Linked DNA regions of Ovis aries. The protein of the gene in region 1 interacts with the protein of each later gene in a biochemical or structural test. Links are inferred from orthologs where the notes say so. Each region holds a gene or a part of one and is shown on either strand. Other genes may lie near its edges.

The links.
Region 2: the proteins of CRY2 (region 1) and FBXL3 form a complex in vitro, tested with the Homo sapiens proteins (2 studies listed by BioGRID, with this or other methods). The link is inferred for Ovis aries from reciprocal best matches to the Homo sapiens genes CRY2 and FBXL3.

Annotation. Positions count from the first base shown.
Region 1 is NC_056068.1:74,814,510-74,829,721, forward strand, and holds part of CRY2 (cryptochrome-2), read left to right. Parts: intron 1-5,157; coding exon 5,158-5,266; intron 5,267-7,613; coding exon 7,614-7,756; intron 7,757-9,263; coding exon 9,264-9,448; intron 9,449-10,421; coding exon 10,422-10,510; intron 10,511-15,212. UniProt on the Homo sapiens protein: Transcriptional repressor which forms a core component of the circadian clock.
Region 2 is NC_056063.1:52,741,335-52,757,148, reverse strand, and holds the start of FBXL3 (F-box/LRR-repeat protein 3), read left to right. Parts: upstream 1-7,125; 5' UTR 7,126-7,462; exon of another isoform or gene 7,463-7,511; intron 7,512-13,583; 5' UTR 13,584-13,584; coding exon 13,585-13,935; intron 13,936-15,814. UniProt on the Homo sapiens protein: Substrate-recognition component of the SCF(FBXL3) E3 ubiquitin ligase complex involved in circadian rhythm function. Plays a key role in the maintenance of both the speed and the robustness of the circadian clock oscillation.

The DNA.
Region 1 (15,212 bases):
AGAGAGGAACTTAAGTGAAAACAAACTAGAAGTCAAGGCAGGCAGCTTGTCAATAGAAGCTAGAAACGTTAATGTGCAAAGCAGTCACCAGGGGAGCTTGCTACAAATGCATATTCTGTTTCTGGAGGTCTCGGAGGGAGCCTGAGGTCCTGCATTTTGGCAAGCTTCTGGGTGACTCACAACTGTTTTGATCCCCCTCGAGTAACAAGGATTTGGTAGCAAAGTGTTGGCCTCAGTGTTCAGGGGGTGAGTACTGGTTGAGAGGCATTGGAGCCTGGTGGTTACGAATGCAGACACCAAGCCACACTGTCCAGGTTTGAATCCTGGTTATTCGTTAGGTGAATGATGTTACACAGATTACTTAGTCTCTCTGTGCCTCAGTTTTCCTCAACTGTAAAATGAGAATTAAATGAGGTGATGTATGTAAAGCAGGTAGAATAGAACCTGTGTGTGCGTGCTCAGTCCTGTCTGACTCTTTGCAACTGCATGGACTGTACCCCACCAGGCTCCTCTGTCCATGGAATTCTCCAGGCAAGAACACTGGAGTGGTAGCCATTTCCTCCTCCAGGGAGAATAGTACCTGGTTCACTGTAAATGCTCATGAAATGTTAGTTACTGCTGTTACTATTACCATCGTTTGGTTGCTGAGTTCGGAGTCCTGCCTTCTGCTGCCTGCCTTGGCTGTAGACTTCTCTTGTCAGAAAGGGTTCTCACTGGGTCATCTGTACTTCAGAGGTGCTGCAAGGAGTCTCTCCTTTTGATCAATGAGGTCTAGAGTCTTCCCCGGTGGTCCAGTGGTTAAGAATCCGCCTTGCAGAGCAAAGAACACACGGTGAGTCAATCCCTCGTTGGAGAACTAAGATCCCACGTGCCATGGAGCAACGAAGTCCAGGGGCTACAGCACTGAGCTTGCTCTCTCTGGAGCCCACACACCACAACTAGAGGGTCCATGCACTGAAACAAAAGACGGTGCAGTGAAGATGGTGTGGCACCTAATACCCCTTGCAGCCAAATAAATACATGAGGTCTAGAAATAGAGTCTACAGAAGGCAGCTGGAACCTTGCTTTCACGTGCATGCCAGTCCTGTTTGTAGCTTCAGCGTCCTGTTCAGCCTAGTGGACTGTGAAGGATGCGGGCCCCCAAGTGCAAGACAGGCACATTTCTGGGAGGCGCAGATGGAGGAGCCTCTGTCTAGAGGTTGTGAAGTCTGAAAGTCTCCAGTTACCCTAGGCATCCTGCAGGTGGCATGGAAGCAATCTCTCTTATTTCTCTCCTGAGAGGAGGGTGAGGCCTGAGAGGAGGCCAGCGCGAGTGCAGTGCAGTGCGTCACTGTCTCAGCTTTGCTTTTCTAAGGGTGTCAGTGCTCAAAAATAGAAATTCGCAGAGGCGGAGCTCTGGCTTTCAGCCTGTCAGTCTCCCATTGCAGCCTCTCAGAGAGTCCCTGCCTGCTCCTCAGCTAGCACAATGCTTCCGGCTGAGCCCAGGACTCATCTTGTGCCGGAATGTGGATCTCTGGCATTCACTGCCTGGGAGTGTCATATCAAAGACGTCAGAGGCGGCAGGGGGGCCTGAGAACAGTCGATGCTTCTGTAAGGCTCCCACAGTCAAGGGACTGTGCTGTGCGGCGGAGGATCCCCTGGGTTTCATTGTGCTCAAAGTAGACTCTAGTGACTCCCATTGTTGACGAGGCTGGGTGGGAGACCCCAGGGTAGGTAGCAGGAGGTGGCTGTGAACCAAGCTCACCTGCCAGGGCCTCTTTCCTGCAGAAGAGCAGGTCAGTGGATCACCTGGAGTCTGGTGTGTGTTCGTCATAACATAAGCTTACAAGAATCTCAGCCCCTGGAGCAGTGTCTGATGTGCTGCTAGAAGGCTTAAGGAAGAAAACATGGTTTGAGTCTGACCAACAGTGTCGGGTAGGAACCTGTCCCCAATAACTGTGATCTTCAGCAAATTTATTATCCTCTCTAGCTCATTTTCCTCATCTATAAAAAAGGGTAGTATTTTTCTTCAAAATGTGCTGAGAGAATTCAAAAGAAAACATGCTTAGCATCTCAGGCATATAATAGTACTGATAACATTAGTTGTCTCTAGAGAGGAGCATAAAATTCCCAGGGGTGCAGGAGAAGGAGACTTCTTTTACTGTGTACCCTTTTGTAACTTGAATTTTGAACCACATGAATAGTTAATCTGTTTATACTGTTAATTTAAAGATAAAATAGAGGTCATGAAATGTATTGATGGGGACTTACCTGGTGGCCCAGCAGTAAGACTCCATGCTTCCAATGCAGGAGGCACAGATTTGATCCCTGGTCGGAGAAGTAAGATCTCATATGCCCCATGGTGAGCACCCCTCCCCCACCACCAAAAAAAGTATTGATGAATTTCTCAGAAAGATGATCATGCCTAGCTGTTCAGTTCAGTTCAGTCACTCAGTCGTATCCGACTCTTTGTGACCCCATGGACTGCAGCACGCCAGGCCTGCCTGTCCATCACCAACTCCCAGAGTTTACTCAAACTCATGTCCATTGAGTCAGTAATGCCATCCAACCATCTCATCCTCTGTCATCCCCTTCTCCTCCCACTTTCAATCTTTCCAGCATCAGGGTCTTTTCCAATGAGTCAGCTCTTTGCATCAGGTGGCCAAACTATTGGAATTTCAACTTCAACATCAGTCCTTTCAATGAATATTCAGGACTGATTTCCTTTAGGATGGACTGGTTGGATCTCCTTGCAGTCCAAGAGACTCTCAAGAACCTTCTCCAACACCACCAAAAGCATCAATTCTTCGGCACTCAGCTTTCTTTATAGTCCAACTCTCACATCCATACATGACCACTGGAAAAACAATAGCCTTGACTAGACAGACCTTTGTTGGCAAAATAATGTCTCTGCTTTTTAATATGCTGTCTAGGTTGGTCATAACTTTTCTTCCAAGGAGTAAGCGTCTTTTAATTTCATGGCTGCAGTGATTTTGGAGCCCCCAAAAATAAAGTCTGTCACTGTTTCCACTGTTTCCCCATCTGTTTGCCATGAAGTGATGGGACCGGATGCCATGATCTTCGTTTTCTGAATGTTGAGCTTTAAGCCAACTTCTTCACTCTCCTCTTTCACTTTCATCAAGAGGCTCTTTAGTTCTTCTTTGCTTTCTGCCATGGGTGGTGTCATTTGCATATCTGAAGTTATTGATATTTCTCTTGAATCCAGCTTGTGCTTCATCTAGCCCAGCATTTCTCATGATGTACTCTGCATATGAGTTAAATAAGCAGGGTGACAATATACAGCCTTGACGTACTCCTTTTCCCATTGGGAACAAATCTGTTGTTCCATGTCCAGTTCTAACTGTTGCTTCCTGACCTGCATACAGATTTCTCAAGAGGCAAGTCAGGTGGTCTGGTATTCCCATCTCTTTCAGAATTTTCCACAGTTTATTGTGATCCACACAGTCAAAGGCTTTGGCATAGTCAATAAAGCAGAAATAGATGTTTTTCTGGAACTCTCTTGGCTTTTTCCATGATCCAGCGAATGTTGGCAGTTTGATCTCTGGTTCCTCTACCTTTTCTAAAACCAACTTGAACATCTGGACGTTCACAGTTCACGTACTGTTGAAGCCTGGCTTGGAGAATTTTGAGCATTATTTTGCTAGCATGTGAGATGAGTGCAATTGTGCGGTAGTTGGAGCATTCTTTGGCATTGCCTTTCTTTGGGATTGGAATGAAAACTGACCTTTTCCAGTCCTGTGGCCACTACTGAGTTTTCCAAATTTGCTGGCATATTGAGTGCAGCACTTTCATAGCATCATCTTTCAGGATTTGAAACAGCTCAACTGGAATTCCATCACCTTCAGTAGCTTTATTCATAGTGATGCTTCCCAAGGCCCACTTGACTTTACATTCCAGGATGTCTGGCTCTAGGTGAGTGATCATACCATCATGATTATCTTGGTTGTGAAGATCTTTTTTGTACAGTTCTTCTGTGTATTCTTGCCACCTCTTCTTAATATCTTCTGCTTCTGTTAGGTCCATACCTTTTTTGTCCTTTATTGAGCCCATCTTTGCATGAAATGTTCCTGTGGTATCTCTCATTTTCTTAAAGAGATCTCTAGTCTTTCCCATTCTATTGTTTTCCTCTGTTTCTTTGCATTGATCACTGAGGAAGGCTTTCTTATCTCTCCTTACTAGTATTTGGAACTCTGCATTCAGATGAGTATATCTTTCCTTGTCTCCTTTGCCTAGCTGTGCAGGTAATACATTTTTGTGGTCCTGTAAAGTAAACAGACCCTGAAAGCTCTCAGGCAATGGTCGTTTCCTGTCCCTGTCCCACGTTGATCCAGCCCTCAGGCCAGGTGGCTTGTGTTTCTGGAGTCCCATAGCCATGGATGCATGGGAGGGAATCCTCCAGACACATACCTTCTCCCTCTTGGGATGAGAACTTGATGGCCAGGGCCCTGGAGAGGCCTGAGGAAGGGGCTACCTGCCAAATGAAACGCTGGGGACCCAGCCCAGGCCATAGGGCTGTGTCAGGAGACACCCACACAGACCAGAGTGTGAGTGCGGAAAGACAGGGAGTCTGTCGGACCAGGGTGGATGAGACCTTCCAGGACAACTGCAGTCTTGTTCCTCTGCTGATGGGACCTCTGCCTACATACCACAGGACTGCCCTTGCTTCTCAGATGGCTCCCCCATCTCTTCTCCCTTGTGGTTCTCACAGTCCCCTAGTGATGGGCAGATAGTTACACCCAGGGCCTGAGGCCAAGAGGGAGTAAGCAACTTGCCTCTGATCGCGAGGAATGGCTCGAGTAGGAGCAGCTCACACTCCCCCAGGTTCCTCTCTTCTGGGGTCTGTACTGAATGCTCTTCTGCATTATTTGGCTTTCTTTTCTTAACAGTTCTATGCAATGGGTACTAACACCAACTGTGTATGACAGATTAGGGGGGAAGAAGCTAAAGGGGTTAAGTAATTACCTAAAGCCACGCAGCTAGTAATGGCAAAGGCAGGATTCAGCGGAGGTGGCCCTGACCCCCCACCACATCACGCCTGGACAAGAACCCAGGAGAACTGTGCTACTGGTTTGGCATAAACAAGGTTCTCGCCGCTTTGTTGGGAAGAAGTGGCTGTTTGTTATGTTACCACCAACAAGGACTCCGTGGCTTCTGCAGGTTCCTGCTTCAGTCTCTGGAAGATTTGGACAGAAGCTTAAGGAAACTGAACTCCCGCCTCTTTGTGGTCCGGGGCCAGCCGGCTGACGTGTTCCCGAGGCTGTTCAAGGTACGTGCGCAGAGTGCGGGACAAGACGGTGAGCGCCTGCCCCCCGCGGACTGAATGAAACGACGTTCTGACTGAGGAAGTGGAGACAGTCAGGGCTGGGCTGACCACTGCTGCTAGGGAAGCTGGGAGCGGATGGAGCTGGTCAGCTGCCCACAGAATGGAAACTGTGTTAAGGAAAACATCAGGGAATCTGGTGTCTTGCTGGAAAGTTCCCAGCTCAGTTCAGACATGGGATGTAGCGACTTATTTCACTCCAGACACCCCTGGCTCCCTTAACTATTTTCCTGGTTCAAGCCAGCAAGGTTTATTAGGGCTCTTCTTGCACCAGGAGTTTGAGGGTGAGGTTTCCTGTTTGTCTAGGGGCATTTCCCCTCTTGCTTTGCTCCTCTTATTGGGAAAAAAAAATCAGCCTCTTTAAGGGAGTGTCCCTACCTCCTCTGTAAATGATCGACAGAATCTTCATTTCAGTACCACATAGGCCTCTGGTTGCTGTATCAGGTAGCCAGCCCAGTTTCCCCCACAAACCCTTTATAATACACATTTTTTAAGACCCAAACGGGTCTTAAAAAGACAGACGTGCTCATGAACAGAGGGCTCTAGGACATCAGCACACAATTGTTTCTATGCCTCTCTGCACCCCGCTTCCTTTCCTGTTCTTCCTGGAGGGAAAAGACAAGAGGAAAGACTGAATGTCGAGGCAGGCAGCTGAGTAAATACTTCGGCATTCACTTCACCTCCCCACCTCCCCACACCCCCACACACAGACAAACATGCACAAATCACACAGTGCTGGTAAGAGCCAGCATTCACTGAGGGCTGACTGTGAGTCAAGCGCTGTTCTCAGTACGTGCTCTATGAACATTAATGCCTGTACTCCTTGCCGCTGCCCTCAGAGGTAGGTGCTGCTGTCCCTGTCCTGCAGACAGGGAAGCAATAGTTTGACCATGCCTGCGAAGCTCAGAGCAGCAGTCTGGGACCTGAGCCCAGGCTGTGAGCCCGGAGCTGTGTTCGTGACCACCATACCATTAAACACACAGGCCTCTCTTCTCCTGCTGCATTGCCCCACCTCCTAGCACCTCTGAGGCCAGCCCACTAATAGCCCAGAGATACAGACAGAGCGCCATTCTCTGTATATTATTAAGCTTCTGCTACGTGCGCAGCCCCATCCCGGGTCCTAGGATGATGAAGACTGAGGCGACACGATCACTGCTCCCAGTACTCACACTCCAGTGGAGGAAACTAGCGAGTAGTGGGTGGCTTCCCTGCCATATGGTAACTGCTGTGATGGAAAACGGGCAGGTGCCAGAGAATCTTTCTGAAGAGGGCCAAGGAGGCTTCTTGGAGAAGGTGTCATCTAATAGTAACCCTTGATTATTATTCATAGTTCATAATAGTATGAACTGCTAATCAGAATACTTAGCTCCTAGTAAGTACCCAATAAATGTTTAGTGCCAACCTTAACCTTGGACGAGAGATAAGCAGCTCTGCACAGGACCCAGAGGCAGCAGGGCCGAGTTGAGGCTGGACCGGCGTGTGCATGGCCAGGACACTCGCCCCAAGGGCTCAGGGTTTTCAGGGACCATGGCCAGAGACCTGGGCTGGAATGTGGTTCCCTCCTGCTAGCTGCATGCTCTAGGGCTTTCTGTGGGCTCCAGAAAGGGTGCAGCCTTTCACGGGGCTGCTTTCTCCCAGGTTTGCTAGGAAATACAGAGATTTCTACCAGACATAACTAAAGACCTGGAAAAGAATCCCCTTCTTTTAAAATATGTGGCCCCTCTGCTCTGATTTCTCTGACCTCTGGGCCAAGGGCGGCTGCTCCTTTCCCAGCTGTCTGAGAGCTGGAGCCTACTAGCTCTGTTTGCTACTGGCCGCAGGAGTGTTGCCATGGAAACCATGAGGACACTTCTCGTAGCACAAGTCTGCCAAGAAAACTAGGCCAGAAGTTTGCAGGGCCCCCAGGAGCTCTGGGAAAGGCTGCTGAGCAGGCGGGAGGTGGCGATCCTCTGCCTCTTTCTGGGACAGGGGGCTCCCCTGGGAGCGTGTATTTATAGCCTCCTGCTGTATTCTTCTCCCACAAGGACACTGGTGGCGCCCAGAGCTGCCCACCTCTCTCATGCCACAGGGACCGCCAGCCTCGGGCTCCACTGGTGAGGGCTGTTGGCCTCTCCTCAGGGGCCTGCCCTCCTCAAACCTCGAGGCCCTCAGATGGTTGGCTTTCTGGTTCAAGTCGTTGTCCGCAGTTTGTTCTGACGGGTCTCCCCACGTGCTTGGTTTCCTCTCGGCAGGGAGCTCGCCCGGCTTCCTTCTCCCCAGCAGTGGTGAGCATTACAGATTCTTTCCCCCACAGGAATGGGGGGTGACCCGCCTGACCTTTGAGTATGACTCTGAACCCTTTGGGAAAGAACGGGACGCAGCCATCATGAAGATGGCCAAGGAGGCTGGTGTGGAGGTGGTCACCGAGAACTCGCATACTCTCTATGACCTGGACAAGTAAGAGACGGGTCCCAGGGCTCAGCTCGCCCGTTGTGGGAGTTGGTGATTTGGGGCCCTGCTGAGCAGAACTCAGAGAGGTTTAGCAGTAGGGCCCCCTGCCATATGGGGCCTGGCGTTTTCTCGGAGCCGGGGGAGAACAGGTCAGAGTGGGGGCCCGTAGAGCTTACCCGATTTGGGTGCAGAGAGGCTCATTAGGCCCGAGAGACGCAAGCAGGGTGTCCATAGCTCCTCACACGCTCCAGGCCCACCCACCCCACATACTCCTGCTTCCATCCTGCTGCTCCGAAACTGCCCTCTGACCCCAGTGGGGCCCTGTCTGTGGCCCCTCCCAGTGGATCTCTGGTCTCGCAGGCGCAGCTTCTGTTCCCCAGCTGCGTTCCCTGGGCTCCCCTGGCTCTTGGGTTTCCAGGTCTCGCATTTAGATGTTGCCCCGGAGGCTTGAGAGATCGCTGCGGGGCCCTGTGCTTTCAAAGAGGCCAGGAGGAAACCCCCTCCTCCCCTTCCTTCCCCGCCAGGGCTGTCCCTCTTGGGCTGCTGTCGCCACCACGGCTCCCCGCCCGCCTCCCCCAGACCGGTGGTGGCTGCTGGGAGGCTGGGTCACACAGCTCTGCATGTGAGCTGGGCTCCCGGGGGGAGGCGCTGGGTGTGGAGCGCCTCCTTCCGCCACGTGCCGGAAGAGGCGGTGGCGGGAGGCCCTGCCGGGCAGCAGCCAACCTTCTGCCTCCGCTAACGGAGGGGAGGAGAGAGGACCTGAGAGAGGGACTCGCCGGCAAGTCCGGGCTTGCTGTCAGCTGCTGCTTGGCCAACAGGAGCCCCAGGAGTCTGGCTCCCGCCCGTCCGAAGTCATTGTTACATAAACAGCCTCAATTCGCCTCTTAAACACTCCTATAGTTTTTCTTCTTATCTGAGTGCAGCTGTGTTTTTGTAAACTGCAAAAAACCCTTTAAGATTGAGTTGTGACTATGAACCCCGAGCCTCCGATTTAGGGAGGGACAGGCTGTTCCCCTCCTCTCTGTTCTAGTAACTAGGGCCCAAGGAGAGAATGAATTTCCAACCAAGGAACCCGTTTGCAGCTCTTATCAAAGAACTTCCTGGAGGCTTATGCTGGGGTAGAGACAGTCCACAGGGCGCCCTGTGGCTTGGACAGGCAGGCCAAGGACCGTGAAGGCCAGTGGGGACTTTTCTGTGACAAGAGAGATATGGTCAGTCTCTGTCTTTAGGCGGCTCCACACCGGCACCAGGGAACCTGGAATTGAGGCCCAGCTTTGGCCCTGACTTGCTCCATTACCCGAGGCATCTGCTCCAGCAGTCTGGGCTTCATTTCCCTCTCAGTAACATGGAGACGTAGCCTCCCTTGCCCCCTCCTTTCTCCCTAGGGGTGGGACTCAGAGCGGATGAGGAAGGCCACCCTCCAAGACTGCACAGTCTGGGCTCTTTTCTGGGTGGGCAGGAACCTGAGATGAAGGGCCTCGTGAGTGACGGCAGGCGTCTTTGGGATTCCCAGGATCATTGAGCTGAATGGGCAGAAGCCACCCCTTACCTACAAGCGCTTTCAGGCCATCATCAGCCGCATGGAGCTGCCCAGGAAGCCCGTGGGCTCCGTGACCAGCCAGCAGATGGAGGGCTGCCAGGCCGAGATCCAGGAGAGCCACGATGAGACCTACGGCGTGCCCTCCCTGGAGGAGCTGGGTAAGTACTCCTGCCCCAGCCCCTCACACTGTCACGTCCTTTTTCGTTTTGTTGTTTTTTTTTTTTAAACCAGCTTTTTTTTTTTTGTTCTTTTTTTTTTTTGTCAAAGTGATGCATGTCATTGTGGACACTTTAGAAAATACAGAGAGATGAAAGTGGAAATAGCTGTCACAGTTACCTACCACTGATCATTTTACAGCAGTCCTTCTGGTCTTTTTTCCTGTTCATAGTCACATGTTCAGCTTCTGTTTCTAGTTCATGACTAATTTTATACTTTTACCTCTCAGACGATATAGACATAGCCTGGTGTTGGCATCAGTGGGCTTCTCAATACCGACATAACTGGTATTGCTTCTGATGAAAGGGGCTATGTCAGCCTTTCTCCCCTTCCCCACCTATCACACATTTTTTTTTGATCTGAATGAAGTTAGCCTTTCTCACCTAAAAACCACAGCTGTAGCCAGCCAACCTGCCAGGGCCAGCCATATAAGATTGTTCTCACCTGCCTATGATGAGACATGGCTGAGATGAGGGAGGCAAGGGAAAGGAGAGAAGAGGTCACAGTGGGAAGAAAACCTGCATGACTTAGAAAACATCACTGAGGAAACATTAAGGATTATCTCAGTGACTTCCCTGATAGCTCAGACCGTAGGTAAAGTGTCTGCCTACAATGCGGGAGACCCAGGTTCAATCCCTAGGTTGGGAAGATCCTCTGGAGAAGGAAATGGCAACACACTCCAGTACTCTTGCCTGGAAAATCCCATGGAAGGAGGTAGGCTACAGTCCATGGGGTCCCAAAGAGTTAGACACGACTGAGGGACTTCACTTCGCTTGGCGTTAGTTCTCTTAGCACCAAGAACACCATAGTTCAGCTCGCACGGAGCTCAGAGAACAGAGCCGCATGTGAGAACTTGCTGCACCATCACCAGACTGACCTGACCCCCAGTCCTGTGGCCCTGCTACCCCTCTGTAGGATTCCCCACTGAAGGGCTCGGCCCAGCGGTCTGGCGGGGAGGAGAGACGGAAGCACTGGCCCGCCTGGATAAGCACCTGGAACGGAAGGTATGGCCCCCGATGCCGAGACAGGGCTTCAGATGCTGACACCCCCGTGCAGCCAGGGGGATGGAGCCAGGTTCATGTCCCTGAGTGCCTCTTAACTCAGGCTGGTTGGTAACAGCAGTAAGAGCAGCTGCCATAAGTGAGTGCTTATCCCATGGGCTGGTCACGGGGCTGAGCGTTTCTAGGTCTAGCACCTGCTTGTGCTGTTCCCTTTCATTTTCCCATCTGCTCTGCAAGGTGGATACTAAGCTCTCCATTTTACCAGTGAGGAAGTCAAGCCTTGCCTGAGGTCACACAGTTTCTAAGTAGCAGAGTGAGACCTTGTTCTACTCGGTTCTAAAACTTGGGCTAGATTGCCTTTTTTTTCATTGGTGTGTCCCCTTCCTAAGAGGTCAGTGGGTAAGAGGTCAGATGTTCTCTTACTCAGAGGATATCTGGTAGTAAAGTGTAGAAGATTATTTTGTGTTTCCGTGTTCCCCACCCCTGCTCGCTTTGGCTGAGTCTCCTCCGAGGCACTGATTTCCATTTGCTCAGCGCAGAGCGAATGGCCCACCCCCCAGTGAAGCGGGAATTGCTCAGAGGTAAGAAAGAGGCTGAGAGGCCCCAGAGGAGGCCCTCACAACGTCCCTCCCACCTACACCTCCTGGGACTACAGGAGCAGAGACTGTTCTCAAGAACAGTCACTCCTGTTTCCTGCCCCCCTGCAGCTGGTTTATAGACTGGGTCCCTAGAATCACAGCGTGTTCTATTCCTGCTCAGGTAGTGGGCATTTGGCCCAGCAGCCAGGTGATAACAGTGCAGGAAGGAGGCTAAGACAGCCCACTTGGGAAGAGTGCTCCCCAGCCCAGGAAGTACCTCACCAGCAGTGAAGGCGGGTCATGGGCCTAGTCTCCCCAAGGCGCAGTGGCCTTGAGGTCCCCATTTGGATCTTACCATCAGACAGGGCCGAAAGCAAGCCCCAGCCATTTAAAAGGAGGAACATTGATGTCCAAGATCTGTGAGGGAACCAGCCGTCTTTGCCCACATTAGCTTTATGCAGACATCCTTGTAGTCAGTCTGGAGACAAAGGCTGGGCCGAGGGGGCAGAAAGGGGAGCCTATGTCAGAGCCCTTTAGACTCAAAGATGATCTTGGGGAATACTGTATTTTACATATCTGGGAGAACACAAGGTGCCTGATGGACAGGAGTTTAAACCGTTTCAGGAGGTTTATTTCAACTTCACTTCTCCAAAACTGAAGTGAGCATTTTCTTAGGTCAGGACAGTCTAGCTACTAGAAAGCCTTCCCAGCACGACAGACATAGAGTTTAAAACATAGTCTATAGCGATGACAGACGTGAAACAGGGAAGTAAAGTCCATTCAGGGTGAGGAAGGGAGTGGTTCAGAGGGTGGTGAAAGTGGGAGAGCAAGAGGACTGACTATATTGATCAGTTCTTGTTTGCAAGATGGCTTTTGAAAAAGGAATTTTTCTTAACTCATATACCCAAGAGTCCCAGGATGTAGCCTTCAGGCATAGCTGGACCCAGGTGTCCAGCTAATGCTACTTGGAATGCATTCTCTATCTCAGTACTGCCTTTCTGTGTATTGTTTCATTCTCAGGCAGGATTTCCTTGAGTGGTGGCAAGGCTCGTCACCAGAGGCTTATTTTCAGTGTGCTTAGTACTACCTGAGAAAGTTTCCAAAAGCTTCAGAAAAAGTCCCAAGAAGTGTTTTCCTTGGTCTGGCTTGGGTCATGTGACTGTCCCTGACTGTCACTAAGGCCAGGGAAGAGGGTGCCCCCTTACCTGTTCAGACTTGAATCTGGGAGTGAGCCCGCTCCCAGAGTCCAAGGTGGCCTTAGCTCTACTTTACCCAGTTGAACTGAGATTAGGGAAGGGGTGGGTCACCACAAGAACATTAAGTGCTGTTACCAGAAATAGGGGGCCAAACAATATGATCTTTACCAGTGGGTTACCCAGTAGTAGCTGAAGGCAAGCATCTCTCCACAAAAGTGTCCCAGTTATTAAATGAAAAAGGAACAGAGGAATCTTACAGCCCCTGGTGATTCACTAATGACTGCTAACACCAAGGATAGTGACTGTCAGGCATGTTTCCCCTGTAGTCTCGCCAAAGACAGGAAACCTGAGTCCACGCCAGTCTCTGGTACCAGCCACCAGTTTGCAAGCGGCACACAGGCCAGAGGAGTGTGCTGAACTGCACCCGTAAGAACACAGGGGAATCCAGATTGTGGGACTAGTGCAAGTCAAAGATCTTGAGTTCCTTTATAAGAAATCTAAAAGGAAAAGAAGGAAATGGCAAGAAATGCATAGAATAGAATAAATAACACGTTGAACTCTCTTACATGACCAAGACTAAGCAAAATGTGCCTACGGATGTACATTTGGATGAAAAAAAGAATAGAAAACACTTTAAAAATGCAAGGAATGACTGAAAAGGTAAAGCCCTCCCTCCCAAATGTGCTTTGGAAAAACAGAAGAATGTTAACATTTTAAAATGCTGGGACCTGATTATTGACAGAGTTGGGCCGGTGGTTATTGATGGAGCAGGGAAGGAACCTGACTGGCGGAGCACGTAGGTGGGCTTCTGGGGTGGCCGGCAAGGTGCTGATTCTTGAACTTTGGTGGTGGTTGCAGAGGCATTTTCCTTAGAATAATCCATTAAGCCACCCATCAGTGTGCTTTTGTATCTATGTTTCACTTAAAAAGATTTTCAAAGAATGGTGGGCAAGGATGTGAGCAGGCAAATATACCTTGGGTCTGTTAGAGGTACTTAACCAATACCTGAGGATCACCTGCCGGGAAGGTGGCTTTGAGGCTGAGGCTTGAAGGAAGAGTCAAAATTAACCAAGGAAAGGGAGCTGCATGTGCAAAGGCTAGCAAGAGCATGTGGCAAGGGAGGAAGCTAGAAACATGGGCCCTCAGCAGACTGCAGGGTGCTTGTGAGCCTTGTTTAGGATTTGGAACTCTAGCCTGAGAATACCAGGAAGCCTGGTGCAGATGTTGCCCTCAGGGACAGGCATTTTAAAGAACCACTCTGCTCCCGGTGTAGACAGTGGATTAGAGGGCACAAGAGCTGATGCAGAGAGGCAGGTGGGAGGCTGTCACAGTTGTCCAGTATAGATAGTCTTAGCCTAAACCAGGTCAATGGCAACAGGGGATGGACGGAAAAGGACGGGGTGAAGAAATACTTGGACAGTGGGACTGACATGACCTGCTGAGGGAGGGCAGGTAACGGTGACGGCCATGCTTTTGGCTCAGGCAACGAGGTGGATGACAGTGCGCTTTCTGAGATAAGGCATGCCAGTGGAAGGGCAGTTTAAAGAAAAGAGCCTGCTCCCCTTGAGGCCTGAAAGTCAGTCCAGTGGAGATCTCTGGCAGGGAGTTGGCTAGGGTGATTTGGGAGTCTAGGTCATAGTCGGGGTGCAAGCTAGAGCCGTGGTGATTGTCTGCAAGGAAGTAGCCTTAGAGGATCCACAGGACTGGCTGAACCAAGCTGGAGCACAGTGGAGCAGAGGGCCCAGGACAGAGCCCTGGGACGCCAAAACTTCAGGGTTGGGAGGCACGGTGGAGCTGGTAAAACATGAGTAGCCAGCCAGGTGAGAGCTGAGAGGCAACCAGGAGCCAACGGAATGGTGGGAATGGAGACAGGGGCGCGGGCAGTAGGGTGAGTGGCTGGGAGGCCCAGAAACGAAAGGACAGAAGATGCCCACAGGATTCAGTGGCATGGACGTCATGGAGGCTCTGGTGGGAGTGGTAAAGGGGGACGTGGAGCTGGGTTCGAGGAAATAGAGTGAGGCTGGCTGTGAAGGGAGGAAAGAGGATGCAGGGGGAAGTCTGCAGGGTGACTGGAAAGTATTTATTTTTGTTTTGTTTTGTTTGCAAAGAGCCGAGACCACTTCCCCAGTGTTCTTAGAGCGGACACAGAAGAGAGGGAGAGGTGTGATGTGTGTGAGAAGAGATGGAGGAGGGCTCCAGAGCCGGGTAGAGGCCTTAGCCTTGGGCAGGGTCGCAGAGGCGGTGGGTGCAGGTGAGCCTGTGGATGTCGTGGCTAAAAGTTGAGGTGTTTCCTGCCTGATGGCTTCCATTTCCTTATCATGAGGGAGGAAGGTCATCTGCTGAAGAGGGGTGGGTAAGTATGGAATTGGAGGTCTCAAGAGGGTATAAGTTTGTGAAATAGTCCTCACAAAGAACAAGAGGGCATTAGGAATTGAGAAAGAAAATAGTTGTTAGAGGGAGTGGAAAAGACTGGAGTCAGTCCCTCCAGCCCTATCTCTTACCATCTCTGTAACCCCAGCAGTCACGTAACCCTTCTTAGCCTTATTCTTCATTTTCAAAAGGAGGCGACAAATGGTGCCTCATGGGATTGTTAATCGCAAATGAGAGAGCAGGGGTCCCTGAGTTGTGGAGGTTAAGTACCCTGCTGGCAGCAACTGATGAGAAAAACAAGACAAGCGACCCCCGCAGTTCGTGACTCTGGGTCCGCAGCAGTGGGCTTCTCAGTGCTGTGGGGCGGTGGGCAGAAGTGGATCTGGGCGAATCTGTGCAGCAGCAGCCTCAGGGCCCCTGTGACCGGGAGCTGAACGAGAGCTGCCCTCCTCTGTAACGTGGAAGCCCCTGTCCTTTCTCCTGTAGAGTCATGGCCTATTCAGTGCTTTCAGAAACTTCCACATCTGTCACTGTATTTAATCTCCAGCAGGTAGGAAACTT
Region 2 (15,814 bases), on another chromosome or scaffold:
GGCCACCAGGGAAGTCCCTTTCCTGGGGCCATCTGTATACCAGCACTTGGGCTAGCCTAGCGGAGGGAGATTCCTACAGGCCTGCTGCAATCAGAGGCTTTTCCTGCCCCACACTCCTCCCTGTCCTTTCATAGATGCCAACCTGCACGGCAGTCTGAAAGCTCTCCCTGCCCCCTCGGGCTCCCCCACCCGTTGGTCTGTCATAGGCAGCCCCCAACACAGATTCTTTGCCCTTCTAACGTTATCCTGGCATCCGCCTCCTAGAGGACTTCGCTGACTGACACAGAAGGATAACATATTTTAAATGACTTATGGCTGCTTCACTTCACAAGCGACATAAGGTAACTTAGAAAAAAAAATACATAGACTATAACAGAGATACTGGGTGGAGTTACACTGAAGACAGATTATGAAAGAAAATCAAAGCCAAGATTAGAGGAGAGTATGCAGTAAGTAACCATGCAGTCTCCCAACACGGCTTGAGAGGAGGCCATCAACTGCACAGTACATTTGTTAGCTAACGAAGCATGAAAAGAAACATGTCCAGTCACTACTTACAATGTCCATTTCCTCAAAAAGAGCAGGGATGGATAAGTTTTGACAAGCATAAGTGAACAAGGCATTTCAGGGAGAGAGTGTGGTGACAGCTATGGCGTTGATGTGTTCCTTGAGGAGGAAGTAAGCTGTTTTGCTTCATTATGTCATTTAATAAATAGCTGAGCACCTGTTCTATATCCACACTTGACAGGACATGCTCACGAGGCTGTGTTCCCACTTGCTTGGTAACCGTGACTTACACGTAGAGAGTGCCTGGGAAGTGAAATGTACAAGTTAGTTAATACGTGCGGCGCTGGGCCAGCTCCTAAGGATGAGACAGTTGCGGAAGTGAAATGTACAAGTTAGTTAATACGTGCAGCGCTGGGCCAGCTCCTACGGACAAGACAGTTGCAGAACAAAAATAGAGAACATGTGAGTAGCACAACATTATGAACGGTAATCAAAGTTTGCTAATAATAAAAGAGAGCATTTGTTGAAGGCTTACAGTGGCCAGTCACTGTGCAGTGCTTGAGTGTCGTGCACAGAATCTGCTTCAGCTTTGTCGCTCAGTTGTGTCCGACTCTGTCAAAGCTCAGGGCTGCTGGTATGATCTGGATCCTCTGGTTCATATCAAACTCACCTATGAAAGCCCTCTTGTCCCTCTCTGATTCACCTCTTAGAATTCTTCCTCCCCTGCAATGTAGATCTTCCCATCTACTCCCCAGGACAGGTTTATTATACGTGCAACATGGCTGAAGTCCAGCTTGCTACACCGAAGTCCTGTCCTGTCATGCTCTTTCACTCTTTGAAGAAATATATATTGAGCAAGGAACTCTTCCAGGAGCCTAGGATCTGCAAGTCAGCCAGACTAAGACTCACGGTGTTTATTATATCTGAGTGGGATGTTACACAACAGACGCGCAAAATATAATTTGCCAGGAGGTGATATGTGCTGTGAAAGAGGCAAAGGAGGTCAAGGGGGCTCCAGAGTTGTTTTCACTGTTTCATCCTAGTTTTATTTATTTTTTTGGTTTTGGGAGTTCATTGTTGAATTTGATTAACTAATATTTCTTTCTGAATTTTTGTACTTATAAGAGAAATGGTGCTTCAGTTTTCCTTTCTTTGGGAATCATGAATATACTAGCTTCATAAAATGACCTGGGCAGCTTTTCCTCTTTATGCTTTTTTCTCAGACAACTTGCAGCAGGACTAACTCTTACTTGGAAGTCTGGCAGGGCTCACATGTAATTCCATCTGTGTGTGTTTGTGTGCTCAGTTGTTCAGTTCTGTCTGACTCTTTGTGACCCCATGGACTGGAGCCTGCTAGGCCCCTCTGTCCGTGGGATTTCCCAGGCAAGAATACTGGAATCTAGTTATTTGGAAGGAAAGGGCTTTGCTAATTACATCAATGTTTATTGATCTATTCAAGTTCTCTACTTCTTCCTGTCAATTTTGGCATTTTATATTTTTCTAGACTTTGTTTCAGCTAGGCTTTCTATTTTATTAGCTAATAATTATTTACAACATACTTTATTATTTTGAATACCTATAGTGGCTACATTCGGAGAAGACAATGTCACCCCACTCCAGTACTCTTGCCTGGAAAATCCCATGGATGGAGGAGCCTGGAAGGCTGCAGTCCATGGGGTCGCTGAGGGTCAAACACAACTGAGTGACTTCACTTTCACTTTTCACTTTCATGCACTGGAGAAGGAAATGGCAACCCACTCCAGTGTTCTTGCCTAGAGAATCCCAGGGACAGCGGAGCCTGGTGGGCTGCTGTCTATGGGGTCACACAGAGTCGGACACGACTGAAGTGACTTAGCAGCAGTAGCAGTAGCAGTAGCAGTGGCTACATTAATATGTGTTCCCCCTTTAAAAAATCCTGTATTTTGCTAATTTGCAACATTTTCTTAATCAGTCTGACTAGAGTTGTATCTACCTTATTAACTTTTATTTGCATGCTTCCTTGTCCTCCACCAGCTCCTGGAGTTTGCTCAAACTCATGTCCATTGAGTCGGTGGTGCCATCCAACTATCTCATCCTCTGTCATCCCTTTCTCCTCCGGCCCTCAATCTTTCCCAGCATCTGGATCTTTTTCAATGAGTCGGTTCTTCACATCAGGTGGCCAAAGTATTGAAGCTACAGCTTTAGCATCAGTCCTTCCAGTTGAGTATTCAGGGTTGATTTCCTTTAGGATTGACTCGCTTGATCTCTTTGCAGTCCAAGGGATTTTCAAGTCTTCTCCAGCACCACAGTTCAAAAGCATCAATTCTTCAGCACTCAGCTTTCTTTATGGTCCAACTTTCAGATCTGTACATGACTACTGGAAAAGCTACAGCTTTGATTACAGGGATCTTTGTCAGCAAAATAATGATTCTGCTTTTTAATATGCCGTCTAGGTTTGTCACAGCTTTTCTTCCTTATTTTTTCCCTGTCTTGTCTTTATTATTTATTTCTCTTCCAGTTATCTACTACAGTATGACGAACCACTCATTACTTTCTGATTGAAACAGTTGTTTATTATTGTCTGTTGGCGTTCGCTAAGCGTTGCCCTGATCTTGGGTGGCCTTGGCCTGCAGCAGCTTGGAGTGGGACCTGGGTTCTTAGCCAGGGATTGAGGTCGGGTCATGGTGGTGAAAGCAGCAGGGCCTAGCCACTAGGCCAGTGGTCAGTGACAAGGGCTCTGACCCTTTGGCTTTGCAGAAAAGAATTTCCACAAAGACGGAAAGTAGTGAAGCAAGTATACAGTACATGGGGATAGGCACATGGGCAGACTCAGAGGGAGAGTCCCTGAACTGCGCCCTTGTGGCAGATTGAATCACTTTTACAGGGTATTTCTTCCTGGCTTCCTTTGGCCAGTCATTTTGATTTACCGGGTTCACAGTCCATATTTAGTGTATCTCAGGATCCTCCCACATGAGCACGGGCATCTTTTAGCTAAACTAGATTCTACCAAAGAGGCTGTGGGAGCCTGGCATTAGTGAGCACCACTGCTCTTTGGCCTCCAAGGAGTCTTTCTGTGCATGTATGGTCCGGGAGGTCTCCTTACTTCGGAAAGGAGAAGTATGTGGTCTGAGCAGGGCCCAGCCTCCTCCCTTAATTGCCCTGCTGTTCTTGTCTTGGAGTTTCAGTCGATAGAGAATGAATCTCCAATTGCTTTATCCTGGGGAGTCCCATCTTCCTCCGGCCTCAGCCCCATGAAGCTTTGTTCTCTCCCATTTTGGTGGCTAGTTCTAGCACACTGACCAAAGAATAAGCATTGACTTGGAGATATTGATTTTGAAGACAGATTTGAGGCAATTAGAAAGGCTTCAGTACAGAAAAATAAAAATAAAATAGAGGGAAAGTTAGGAAATAGAGAGAGATGAGAGGCAAACCTCCATGCAGACATATCCCAAATAATATATGTAGATAGTCTCACCTCAGGAGATGGAACATAACTTTCTCCAACCTTTTAGTGTGAGGTGAATGCAGAGACTTCCTCCCAAAAAGGATAGTCTGGAAAGGGAGAAAAAAAAAATTTACATTTCTTGACTTAAAAAAAAGCACAATGGGAAAGTTGCAAGTTAAGCTTCATTTGGGGGAAAATGAGGACTGCAGCCTAGGAGACAACACCTCAGATAGCTCTGAGAAACTGCTCCAAAGAGGAGAAGGTCAGTATATATGTGATTTTGGTGAAGGGAGAGTACATGCAATCAAGCACGTATTTTTTCCAGAAGGTTCCTGCTAGTCTGGTGAAGCTTTCTGCTGGTCACAAGGAGCAGCCATCACCATGAAAAATTTTAGTGCTGTTCTAGACAAGAGGGGGCTTCCCAGATGACTCCCGTGGTAAAGAATCTGCCTGCCAGTGCAGAAGATACAAGAACTGTAGGTTTGATCCCTGGGTCGGGAAGATCCCCTGGAGGCGGGCATGGCATCCCACTCCAGTATTCTTGCCTGGAGTATCCCATGGACAGAGGAGCCTGGCAGGCTACAGTCCATAGGGTATCAAAGAGTCAGACATGACTGAAGTGACTTCACACGCATGTATATTAGATATAAGGAGGTATAAGAATTGGGCTCATAAAATCAGTTCCTGAAAATATCCGAAGACCTGTTATGCCAGATTTTCCCCAGAGCACAGAGTGCCTCATTTCTGTTCTCCACCCTGACTCATTTCAGAGGGTCTTGAAAATCAGCAGCTGCAGCAGCACATGATTTAATCCTGGTAGAGACAGATGGCAAGTGCCAGTTTGTAGTTGATCTCAAACTCTGATGAATGTTAGCCTCAATAGAGAGAAATCCTTTGAGAGTATGTATCCTTGATATGATACGATGACAGTGATACTTTATTCATGTGTGTCCTTCCTCTGAAATACTCATAACCTCAGTCTGACCATGAATGAGAAAACAAGAGGCAGACCCCAGTTGAGGAACATTCTACAAAAGTCTGGAACAGTGCTCCTAAAAACTGTGAAGGTCATCGAAACAAAGAATTATGAGATGGTATTGAAAGAACTACTCAACATAACCTAACCTAACCTGATCATCCCAGCAGATGGGTTACACTATCTGCAGAGAATTTAAAAACAATAATAAATCTGACTCTTTGTTGGTTTGTTTTTTATTACCGCTTGTACCAACAATCCTAAACTGGGTTGGTAACAAAATATTCTTCCTTGCTGGACCAGATTACTCAACAGCCACCCTCTCCCTTCCCCAGACAGTGTCACCGATCTTGAAAAACAGAACTGAAAATTTTAAGTATTGACTAATTTTGTATCTATTTATGGCTATGCTGGGTCTTCCTTGTACGCAGGATTTTCTCTAGTAGTAGCAAGTGAGGGCCCCCTCTAGCTGTGGTGTGAGGGCCTCTTATTGCGGTGGTTTCTCTTGTGGAACACAGGCTCTCAGGCGCACCCCTGGTTTCAGAAGTTGGAGACTAGAGCACAGGCTCAATACCTGTGGCACAAGGGCTTAGCTGCTCTGCAGCACGTGGGATCTTCCCAGAACAGGGCTTGTACCTGTGTTTCCCGCAATGGCAGCAAGATTCTTCACCACTGAGGCACCAGGGAAGCCCTCGACTAGTTTTAAAATAAGCACAAGTTGCTTTTTGCAAAAAGGGAAAATAAAATTTTTAAATAACAGTAACAGGGAAGGAAAGGAAGCATTAGATATTGGTAAAGTGAGCCAAGGTCCCACCCTTGTCTTTAGGGAGAGAAGAGACTGTCTTGAGGCTTTAAAAGGGGGCTACAATTGGAGTATGAACGTTTTAATGAGATACAGTGTTTACTAGTTATGTTGACTGGTTTAATGTGTTTTGCTGATCGTTTATTCTGTTAAAGTAAGTTTAAATAAATATGTCTGTATTTGACTTGTGTTTCTTCTTGTAACTATTATCATTGCCCTTCTTCCTCTTGTCCTTCCTCATCCAGTCAAGGAGGAACCTAAAAAGCGTTGCAGTGCAGGTCCAGACACATTATTTTGTTGCTAGACTTTGTTCCCTTTGACTGTTGATCTGATGGCCAGGCCTTAACAGAAAAACAGTGGCATTTTCCCACAATGACTCTCACCATACTTTTACCCACGCCTTCCTAGCTCAAGTTTAGGGGGAGTAGAAGAGTGCTGGGATGCCTGGTTTTCACTGTCTTCTAGTCTCTTACACACCGGGCAGATCTTTGACAAGACATCTATGATGAAAAATTATTTTTGAGGGGAATGGGGATGGTGCATGATTCAAGTTAGATTTTGCACCTAAGGATAGTTTAAGAAAACCCAGTATCCCCAAATCCAAACTTTGAAAACAAGCTAACCAGGTAGCAGTTACACACAAAGATGCCTCTACTTACAAAAGCCTTCACCGGAGTTTTCTTTTATCCGCCATCGACTCCCTTACACTATTCTTACTGTGTTTCAGAAAGCTATTTACAAAGCAATTTACAAAGGAGTCTGTCTACTTTATAAAGGCGATTTTTAAAATATCACCCGTCATCCCAGCGTTAACAGTGTCACCATTCTGCTTTAATGCCCCGCCATGTAACACCTTATGTATACAAGATGCATATTATCGTAGTATGCCAAGGATGGTCTATTTGGTGTGTATTGTTACAAGCTGTGTTTTACCTCCTCCCGTGACGTGAGCGGGCGTGGCCATCGGAGGCCCAGCCTCCCACGCGGAGGTGTGTCCGCTGCCGCAGCTAGTTTACAGGTCGGCCAGAACCAGCTGCAGCCCGCCCCAGGGACTCTACTTTCTTGTAGCTGCTCCGCCTCCCTAAACTTTCCACTTTGCACCGCAGTCTGTTAGGCATCTAGCTGGCTCCAGCCCCCCTCACGTTCGGCTTCAAGACGCAAAAACAAAACAAAACAAAACAAAACAAAAAACCTACAAGCCGCAGTCACGTTTCGGGGAGGAAGGCTGCCGACACTCCCCGGGGAACCAGGAGACCGAGCCCCCAGCCGTGCGGGACGGAGCGCGCTCCCGCGTGGGTGCGGCCCCTTCGGGTTCCCCGGCTCATCCTCCTGGAACTCGCCGCGGAGCACGCGCGCCCGCCCCCCTAGGCGGGGACGCGCCGCCGGGAGAAGCGCGCGGCCGCGAGCCCGGGCGCCATTTTGGTTTCTGTCTCTGGGCCGCGGCGCCGAGAACCTACGCGGTGGCTGCAGCTCCCTGCAGCCGTCCCTCTCCCGGCGACGAAGGAACCCAGGAGAAGGACACGGATGGCGCGAGACTGAGGAGGGCGGCTTCTCTCCGGGCAGCCAGAGCCGCAAAGGTGGAGCCGCGTTGGCGTCCCCCAGGCGACCAGCGCTTCGGATGCGGGCGGAGCGCGGGGGGCCGCGGCGGCGGGAGCGCGAGGCGCGGGGCCCGCGGGGCCTCATGTGAGAGCCGCGGGACCAGCCGCCCCCGGAGTCCGGGGTGGAGCGTGGGGGAAGCCGCCCGCGGCAGCAGGTAACGCGGAGGGCCGGGGCCGGAGCCTCGCGGCGGCGGCGGGAGCCGGGTAGGGTCGCGGAGGTGGGCGGGCCGGGGGCGGAGGGGGCCACGGGGACCCGAGAGTGCGCGGGCCGCCCCTCGAGAGTGCGGGGCGGGACGGGGCGCTGGAGCCCGTTTGGGGGCGTTGCCCTGCGAACCTGCTTCAAAACATGTCAACAAGGCGTGGTGCGCGCGCGGCGCCCGGCGGCAGCCTCCGCGCGACGCCACCGCCGCCGCCGCCGCCGCCGCGCCCCGGGCTCGCCGCGCCTGGCGCCCGGCTTTGTGACTCGGCGGGGCCTGGTGACCGACACCCTAGAGCTCGCGCTCGGCCTGGCTTTGAGAGATGAGAGACATTAAGATGCCAAAACAGACCGCCCGGGGTAGGGCGGCAGACAAGTCTGGGAAAGCCAATTCGAGGAGGTGGCGCGGGAGGAGGGCAAACCTCGGACGCGCGTAGCCAAGTGGAAAAGTTGGTCAACTTGGAATGAGCAGCTTTGCCCCTGCTTTGAGCGAGAGTAGCTCTTTTAGATGAAGTTGCAGACAGGGATCAGGAAAAAGCCTATTAAGTGATTGGCCTGCATCACCGTGCTTAGAGATAAGCAGTTATTTTGTTGCTGAACGTGTCAAGTATCTCTCAGATCTTTCAGAATCTTTTTTTTCTTCTCCTGAAATCTTTATAAAAATGCCATCAACTCCCAGTATCTACAAATGATCGGTGAACCAATTTTCACCACCCCACTCTCTAATACCATCTAGTTCTGAGAGTCAGACTATTTGCACCCATTTGGTCTTTGTATTCCAGCCGAAGAATGCATGGCAATTATTAGCCAAAAGCAGAGCATAAATGGAAAGGAAATGTGATGCCAAAACAGGCTTTTTAGAGCTGAATACAAATGAGCTTTTAAAATTACTATGATCGCAGTGTACTAAAAAAACAACGAAGGGCACATAGCCAAGTGTTCTCTTAGGCTCTTCATCTGATGAACAAAGTGACTACTCCTTTCAGAGCGTATGGAAATGTGAAGAGTTAATACCATAATTCTCTGTGCTGCTCGATCAGGGTGGAGTCTTTCGTCATTCGTTTGTTTTTTTGATGCTCCATAGGAGTATCAGTCTCAGCGAATGCTTTTAGTTGAATCGATTTTTGGGAGCCTGGAAAAGTCGCATTTTGAAGTGAACTGCCAGAGTTATGAATTGGCCTAGTTTGGGTGCTCTCCTAAATCTCAGAGAGGTTGATCATCCATCTTCTCTGCACTCAAGTTCTAGTGTGAGAGGGGTTTTCACTTTAACTAAAAGTAAGAAGTCGTCCATTGATGTAAATTCTTTGCAGACTGGTAGATCCTCTAAGTTGTTTAACTTTCTTTATATCAGAGCTTCATGTGTAAATAGATTTAATAAAATACTTTTGAAGGCAGTGCAAATTTTTGCATGAATTGTCTTGGAAAAGATTTGACATTAACATTTTTTCCTAGGTGCCCACTATGATCTGATGTTTTTACACATAAATGAGGGTAATACAGAGACATTTGTATTGGCATTTGGTTTTAATTTTTTTTTGTTGTTGCTTTATATACTGTAATTCTGACATACTACAGCAGTCAAATGTGACAGTTTAAAGACTTCAGTTCAGCTAGTTAGAGACTGTTGTTTAGTTGCTAAGTCATGTCCTGCTCTTGCGACGCAGTGAACTGCAGGCTCTGTCCATGGGATTTCCCAGGCGAGAATACTGGAGTGGGTTGCCATCTCCTTTGCCAGGGTATCTTCCTGACCAGGGATTGACCCCACATCTCCTGCAGTGGCAGGTGGATTTTTTTTTTTTTTACCACTGAGCCACCAGGGAAGCCCTCTTTTTAATATGTCAGCTTTTTTTCTGTACTCCATTTGGAAAGATATTGAAATGTACTTCTATTTAAACCAAGGATGCAGTAGACAAAAGAAAGTATGTTGTTAGAACCAGCAATGTATTAGCAGAGATAATTGTGTAAATAAGGTCGTCGTTTTGTTTATGTATCTGTATGAATCGTTCCATCTTTAAATTGAATAGTTCTGGTTTTAGAAGACTTTTCTCCAGGAATAGAAGATCAACAGTCTGTAGTGAGCGGTAGAAATTATAAAAATAACTTCATTCTTTTTTGAATCTCAGTATCTCAAAATGCTGAGTAGTTTTAGGTAGTCAGAAGAGAAATTATAAACCCTGGGTAGCAAACTCTTTGTTCTTTGACCCAAATTTTGTATGCTAAAATTAAAGTACGCCTTCAGGATAAGTTAAAGCAGAAAAATGGGTCATAATGACAGTGTTATCTCAGCCTTTAGTGAGACATTATTCCTAGGAGAGTATTTTTTGTTTTAATACTAAAGATGACATTATAGACTATACATCTTTTCTCTAAACATATTTGAAAAACGTATTCTTTGTTTCGCATGTAAGTTTTAGTCTTCCATAAAACTAGCCTCTTGCTATCATCTCTCATTGTTTTCCCTTTCTCTCCCTCTGCGTAGGGGAATATGCATCATTTACTTCACTTAATGTATAGTTGGAAGTAGGAGTAATGAGGAATAGGCAGTTTATTGCGCATGTCCTTAGACCTCCTGGACTGATCTTAATGGCATGAGAGCCAGGGTCCTCTGCTTCCAGTCCTTCAGAGTTAGCTACTGGAAAGAAAGAGTCTGCACAGACGTATTTGGTTGAGAGCCATGCATGCTGTGTGTTTGTTCCACACAGGAATCAGAATTCTGATGTACTGATGTGCCAGGAGAAGGGAGTTGGAGCTACAAGCCATCCTGTGTGAAAAAGCTGTGACTCTAAATCCAAACTGTACCTGCCAGAAACTGCTCTCTAGAGACAAAAGAATCGCAGGCTCTGAACTAAATAGAGGTACCAGTGAGTGGACTGCAGTTGCCCTCATTTAGTTAGAGCCTTCAGTACTTAAATTTCCAGATAAAACAAGACCTTTTATCTGATTGCAGTGTAATTCATTGACATTAACAGGCATGTGTAAAGTTTAACAAAGCATATTGCAAAAAAAAATCATTATTTAATCCCACCACAGTTGTTATACCACAATTATGAATATAATATTATACAGTCCCACTCTTACAGTTACTATATTAATGTGGTAATCTATTTCCAGTGTGTTTTTCTCATACATGACCTTGTAGTCTCACACATTCTCATATATACTTCATGTTAAAATAAATTTAGGATCATTGTTTGCCTTCTGGCTGGAACCTCTGTTTCTACTTTAATGTTCTTAATACAAGACTACTTTCCTATACCTGAGTTCAGCAGCCATTGATGTCTCCTTTCAAAAGCCCTGCTGCTGCTGCTGCTTCTAAGTCACTTCAGTCGTGTCTGACTCTGTGCGATCCCATAGATGGCAGCCCACCAGGCTCCCCTGTCCTTGGGATTCTCCAGGCAAGAACACTGGAGTGGGTTGCCATTTCCTTCAGTTCAGTTCAGTCGCGTCTGACTCTTCGTGACCCCCATGAATCGCAGCATGCCAGGCCTCCCTGTCCATCACCAACTCCCGGAGTTCACTCAGACTCACATCCATCGAGTCAGTGATGCCATAATTCCTCACAAGATCCCAGTGTGTTTCTGTTATCCCCATTTTACAGATTGAAGCCCAGGAAGGTCAAGTAATTTGTTAATAGCCACATAAGCAGTGAGAGGGAGAGCCAGTGAGCTACTGGCTCAAACTACTATTTTACGCCATTCACTGGTGGCTCAGATGGTTAAGAATCCGTCCACAATGCGGGAGACCCCGCTTCGATCCCTGGGTTGGGAAGATCCCCTGGAGAAGGAAATGGCAACCCACTCCAGTATTCTTGCCTGTAAATTCCATTCCTGTTTTACAACACCACCAGATCCAAATGGAATGAAGGCAGTACCAATACATAGAATAAACACTCACTTGTCATTCAGAAATACAACTTGGATAAAACATTGCAACAACTAGTGAAGTGTTGGAAGAAGCAGCCACATTCCAGAGCAAACTATGCACAGAGATGAGGTTGCTCGTTTTAGGCAAAGATTGGGTCTGGTAGTAACACACATGGCAGGCTACTCACTGTGGAAAGATCTGTCAATGACTTCATTCAGATGCTCTCTGAACGTTCCTGTGGCTCCGTCTGCCGTGAATTCAGAAACTCAGATATAGTAGGTATCCTTTGATGACTTTCAAGAAATCTTGAGGAGATGTCCCTGTAAGTTCTCTTTTGTATTTCTGAATAGTTGACTGCCAGGGTCCAGCCCCGGTGGATCCAGGGAATTCGAAGGGTAGACGGCGTTGGCGAGGAAAGACTTATTGATTGATTGATATAAGATTGGATTAAGAAACAATAGTGTAGTAGGAAAATTAAGTGGAGAAAGAGGGCTGAATAACTTGGATTACGCAGAAGACCAATAAAATCCCAGACAAGGAATTTGCACCATCTACATTGGGCCACCGGTGCTCGCTTGAATATCTAAGGGTGCCTCGCCTTAGGCTCCCTTTCACGCAGGTCTTAACAGCCAGGGGAAGTAAGTAGACTTGGCGAGCCTCCGTGCCCCAGATGGGAATTCAGCCTGAAATTATAGAGGAGAGGGAGGGAAAGGGAGAAAAGGAGAGAGAGAGAGAGACACACACACACACACACAACACAAAGTTAGACAGGAATTCAGCCTGAAATTATAGAGGAGAGGGAGGGAAAGGGAGAAAAGGAGAGAGAGAGAGAGAGAGAGAGACACACACACACACACACACACACACACACACACACACACACACACACACACACACACACACACACACACACACACACACACACACACACACACACACACACACACACACACACACACACACACGGGAAACCAGTCCAGTGACTAGCTCCGTCCTCTGTTGTTCAGAAGGCCTTTTATACTTTTGATAAAACATGGAGATCAGTGGGTAACACAAAGTTAGACAGCGTTAGCAGCCCAGACTCTTATCAAAACCAGGCTTTTCTCTCTGCATACCTAATTGTATACACAAGTCTTAGGTAATTTACATCATCTTCCAGCCAAAAGGGCCAATTAACATTTTACAGCCTTTTTTCTGATAAGGGTTTGTCAACCAGAAGACTTATTTGTGTTGATCTTCCCAAAGTCTGGTGCCAGTCTCAGAAAGCACTAAATAAAGTTACATTCTTACATAGCAAGGACACAAGAGGAGTGCAGTGATATATAACAGAGAGAAAAGTAATTATCTCAAAAGTCTAGTGTTGCTAACATCAAAACTACTATATATCTTTTCCATATCCCATTTACATTGATTAACATCCTCCCAGGTGCCTAAAAGATAAAGAATGTGGAGGCCTGGCAGCAGTCATTGAGTCAACAGTGAAAACCCTCTACCAATATGATTTTTAACTCTTTAGGAAAGGCTCTGTATCTTTAAGACGCTTTTAAGCTTTGTGCCTCTCGCGGTTGGGGGGCTGGAAGCAATTCACAAGCTGTAAAAGGTCCAAGGAACCTGTTAGGCAAGCTAGAGAGTTATCAGAGGGGGTTTAACTGAAACATCCCTTTCAAATGCAGAAGACTAAAGCCATGAATTGACTTTTTTCCAGAAAATATCAGAAAAGTGGAAAAGCAGAGTACAAAAGCCGGCAGATTTTTTTTTGGGGGGTACATGCTCAGGAAATTCCAGGGGGACCCCTGAAGTCTGATCACGACCTTGCGTATGTCAGCTTCCTTCCTCATGACCTTGTCACAGGCTGGATTCCTCACACTGGCTTCCTGCAGTAGACTACAACTTTGGAAATATAAATGCATGGTTTGGTTTCAAAGCTATGATAAACTTCTTCCCCACATAGTACAGTGCAAATACACATGCTTAAAAGCACCTGCCAAAGGTGTAAGGTTGTGAAATAGCAGTTGGTCTCTACTGGTGTTTTTTTTTTTATTATTATATTTTGCTTTGACGTTCTCCCTGAATGTCTGGTCCAGTTCTCCTGCGCGTTTATGTTTTTATTTATAGGCACGTGTACAGAAATCTCGGTGATAGAAGAATGAATTTTGGATTTATGTCTGTTGAAAAGTTAAGTACAAAAAAAGAATGATGAATTTTTTTCTGAATAGGATGAAACGAGGAGGAGGAAGAGATAGTGGCCATGATTCATCAGAAGAAGGTATTGCCGAGAAATCCAAGAGACTGCGGACTGCAAGTGAGCATTCTCAGACTTGTGATTGGGGTAATCTCCTTCAGGACATTGTTCTCCAAGTATTTAAGTATCTGCCTCTTCTTGACCGGGCTCATGCTTCACAAGTTTGCCGCAACTGGAACCAGGTATTTCACATGCCTGACTTGTGGAGATGTTTTGAATTTGAACTGAATCAGCCAGCTACATCTTATTTAAAAGCTACACATCCAGAGCTGATCAAACAGATTATTAAAAGACATTCAAATCATCTACAATACGTCAGCTTCAAGGTAATACTTTAAATCATTCTTTTTAAAAATAAAGTGTATTTAGTGGCTTTTGTGGGGCCTTCCCAGGTGGCGCGAGTGGTAAAGAACCCACCTGCCAATGCCGGAGACAGACTCAGGTTTGATCCCTGGGTTGGGAAGATCCCCTGGAGGAGGGCATGGCAACACAGTCCAGTATTCTTGCCTGGAGAATCCCATGGACAGAGGAGTCTGGAGGGCTCTGGTCCATGGTTTATCAAAGAGTCGGACATGACTGAAGCAACTTAGTATATATGCATGCAGTGGCTTTTGTGTCCTAAACTGATACATTTTCCCTTGTTTTTAAACTATTGCCTTTTTAGGGAAGGTGCTTAAAGATTTAGAGTAACTGTGTACCTTAGAGGCTGTCACAAATAACCGTATTGGGCTAAATTATTCCATTTTATTGTAAATCTTAATCATTATTTTAATAATTTCTTGAAACCAGAAGCAGCCATTAAATAAAGATAAATCATATACTGAAACTGTCACGTTGAATTATTATGGACAAATTTGAGCCCAAAGAAATATATGTTAGAAGTAGAGGTTTTTATTAAAGCTTCATTTTAATAAAATAAAGTCTGAGTTTTGTTTATTGATGGCTTTGTGATAATGGAGTTCCTTAAAGAGAAAGGAGATACAAAAACTATATATTAAAAGTTTAGATGAATGTATTTTAGAGAGAAATAGAAAAAGGTACATGAAAGATGCCAAAGAAAACTATTTCTTTTCTTTGCTAGCAGGGACATACTAGAAGTTAGGCAGTAATGAGATAAGTGAAGTGAGGTTGCTCTTTGAGAGGTTCAGAGTGGTATAAAGAATCACAGTGGTGTATGTGAGCAGGCTTGTCATGTTTTGTTCTGGGGATGAATAATGAAGTGTGGATATGTTCACTAAGTCCTTAACACATCCTGTAATTACTGTTGAAGTAACACATGAATACCTTATTTGCCATATGCAGCTGATGTTAAACAGGTCAAGTTAAACCCAGATACTGCAGTGATTCTTAACCCAGAGATCCTTGCCAAAACTAAAGTCTCTCCCAAGACTGTCATTCTGTATCAGCTGGAGATTGTCTGTTTATTCTCTCATATGTGTCACAGGAGTAGGAGAGGCCTGATGTTGGGAATGGTTGGGTGTCTTAGGGCCATCTTTCCAGAAAACTGCACAAAGACACTTAGACCACCGAGTGAAGGATTGCTAGGTTTAGCAAGTCAAAATAAGGGATGCCTAGTGAATTTCAGATAATCTGTGGCTAATGGTTGGTGTAAATACCCCTTGCATCATTTAAGTAAGTAAGTAAAGTCGCTCAGTCAGGTCCAACTCTTTTTGACCCCACGGGTGGTAGCCTACCAGGCTTCTCTGTCCATGGGATTTTCCAGGCAAAGATACTGGAGTGGGTTGCCATTTCCTTCTTCTTGCATTATTTGGGATATCTAATGCTTAACTAGATGACTTGGATGTTATATCTCAACCCTAGCTGAGGGCAAGGCTAGGGGAATGGTGGGAGGATAGAACAAACGAAAATTCAGGAACTCCTCATGTGTTGTCCCTCTCTTGCCTGCCCATGAGGAAACCTGAAGAGCCTTCTCTTTGGTTTCAGTCATCTTTGAGTTGTCTAAAAGTGTTCTTATGGTAAATCCTATAACAAGTATAATACATTAATCTCCTAGGTTTAAAGACCAATTCCATCCAGTGGGTTGGCTGTTTCAGTGTTAACCTGTGGCACAGCTCAGCTGTATCCAACTTGTATAACCATCATAAAATCATTTCTCCTATAAGTTTAAGCATTTTTTTTTTTAGGGATCGTTTATTTTTCGGAGGAAATTTCTGATTTGCAAGAACACACCCCAAGATCCTTCTG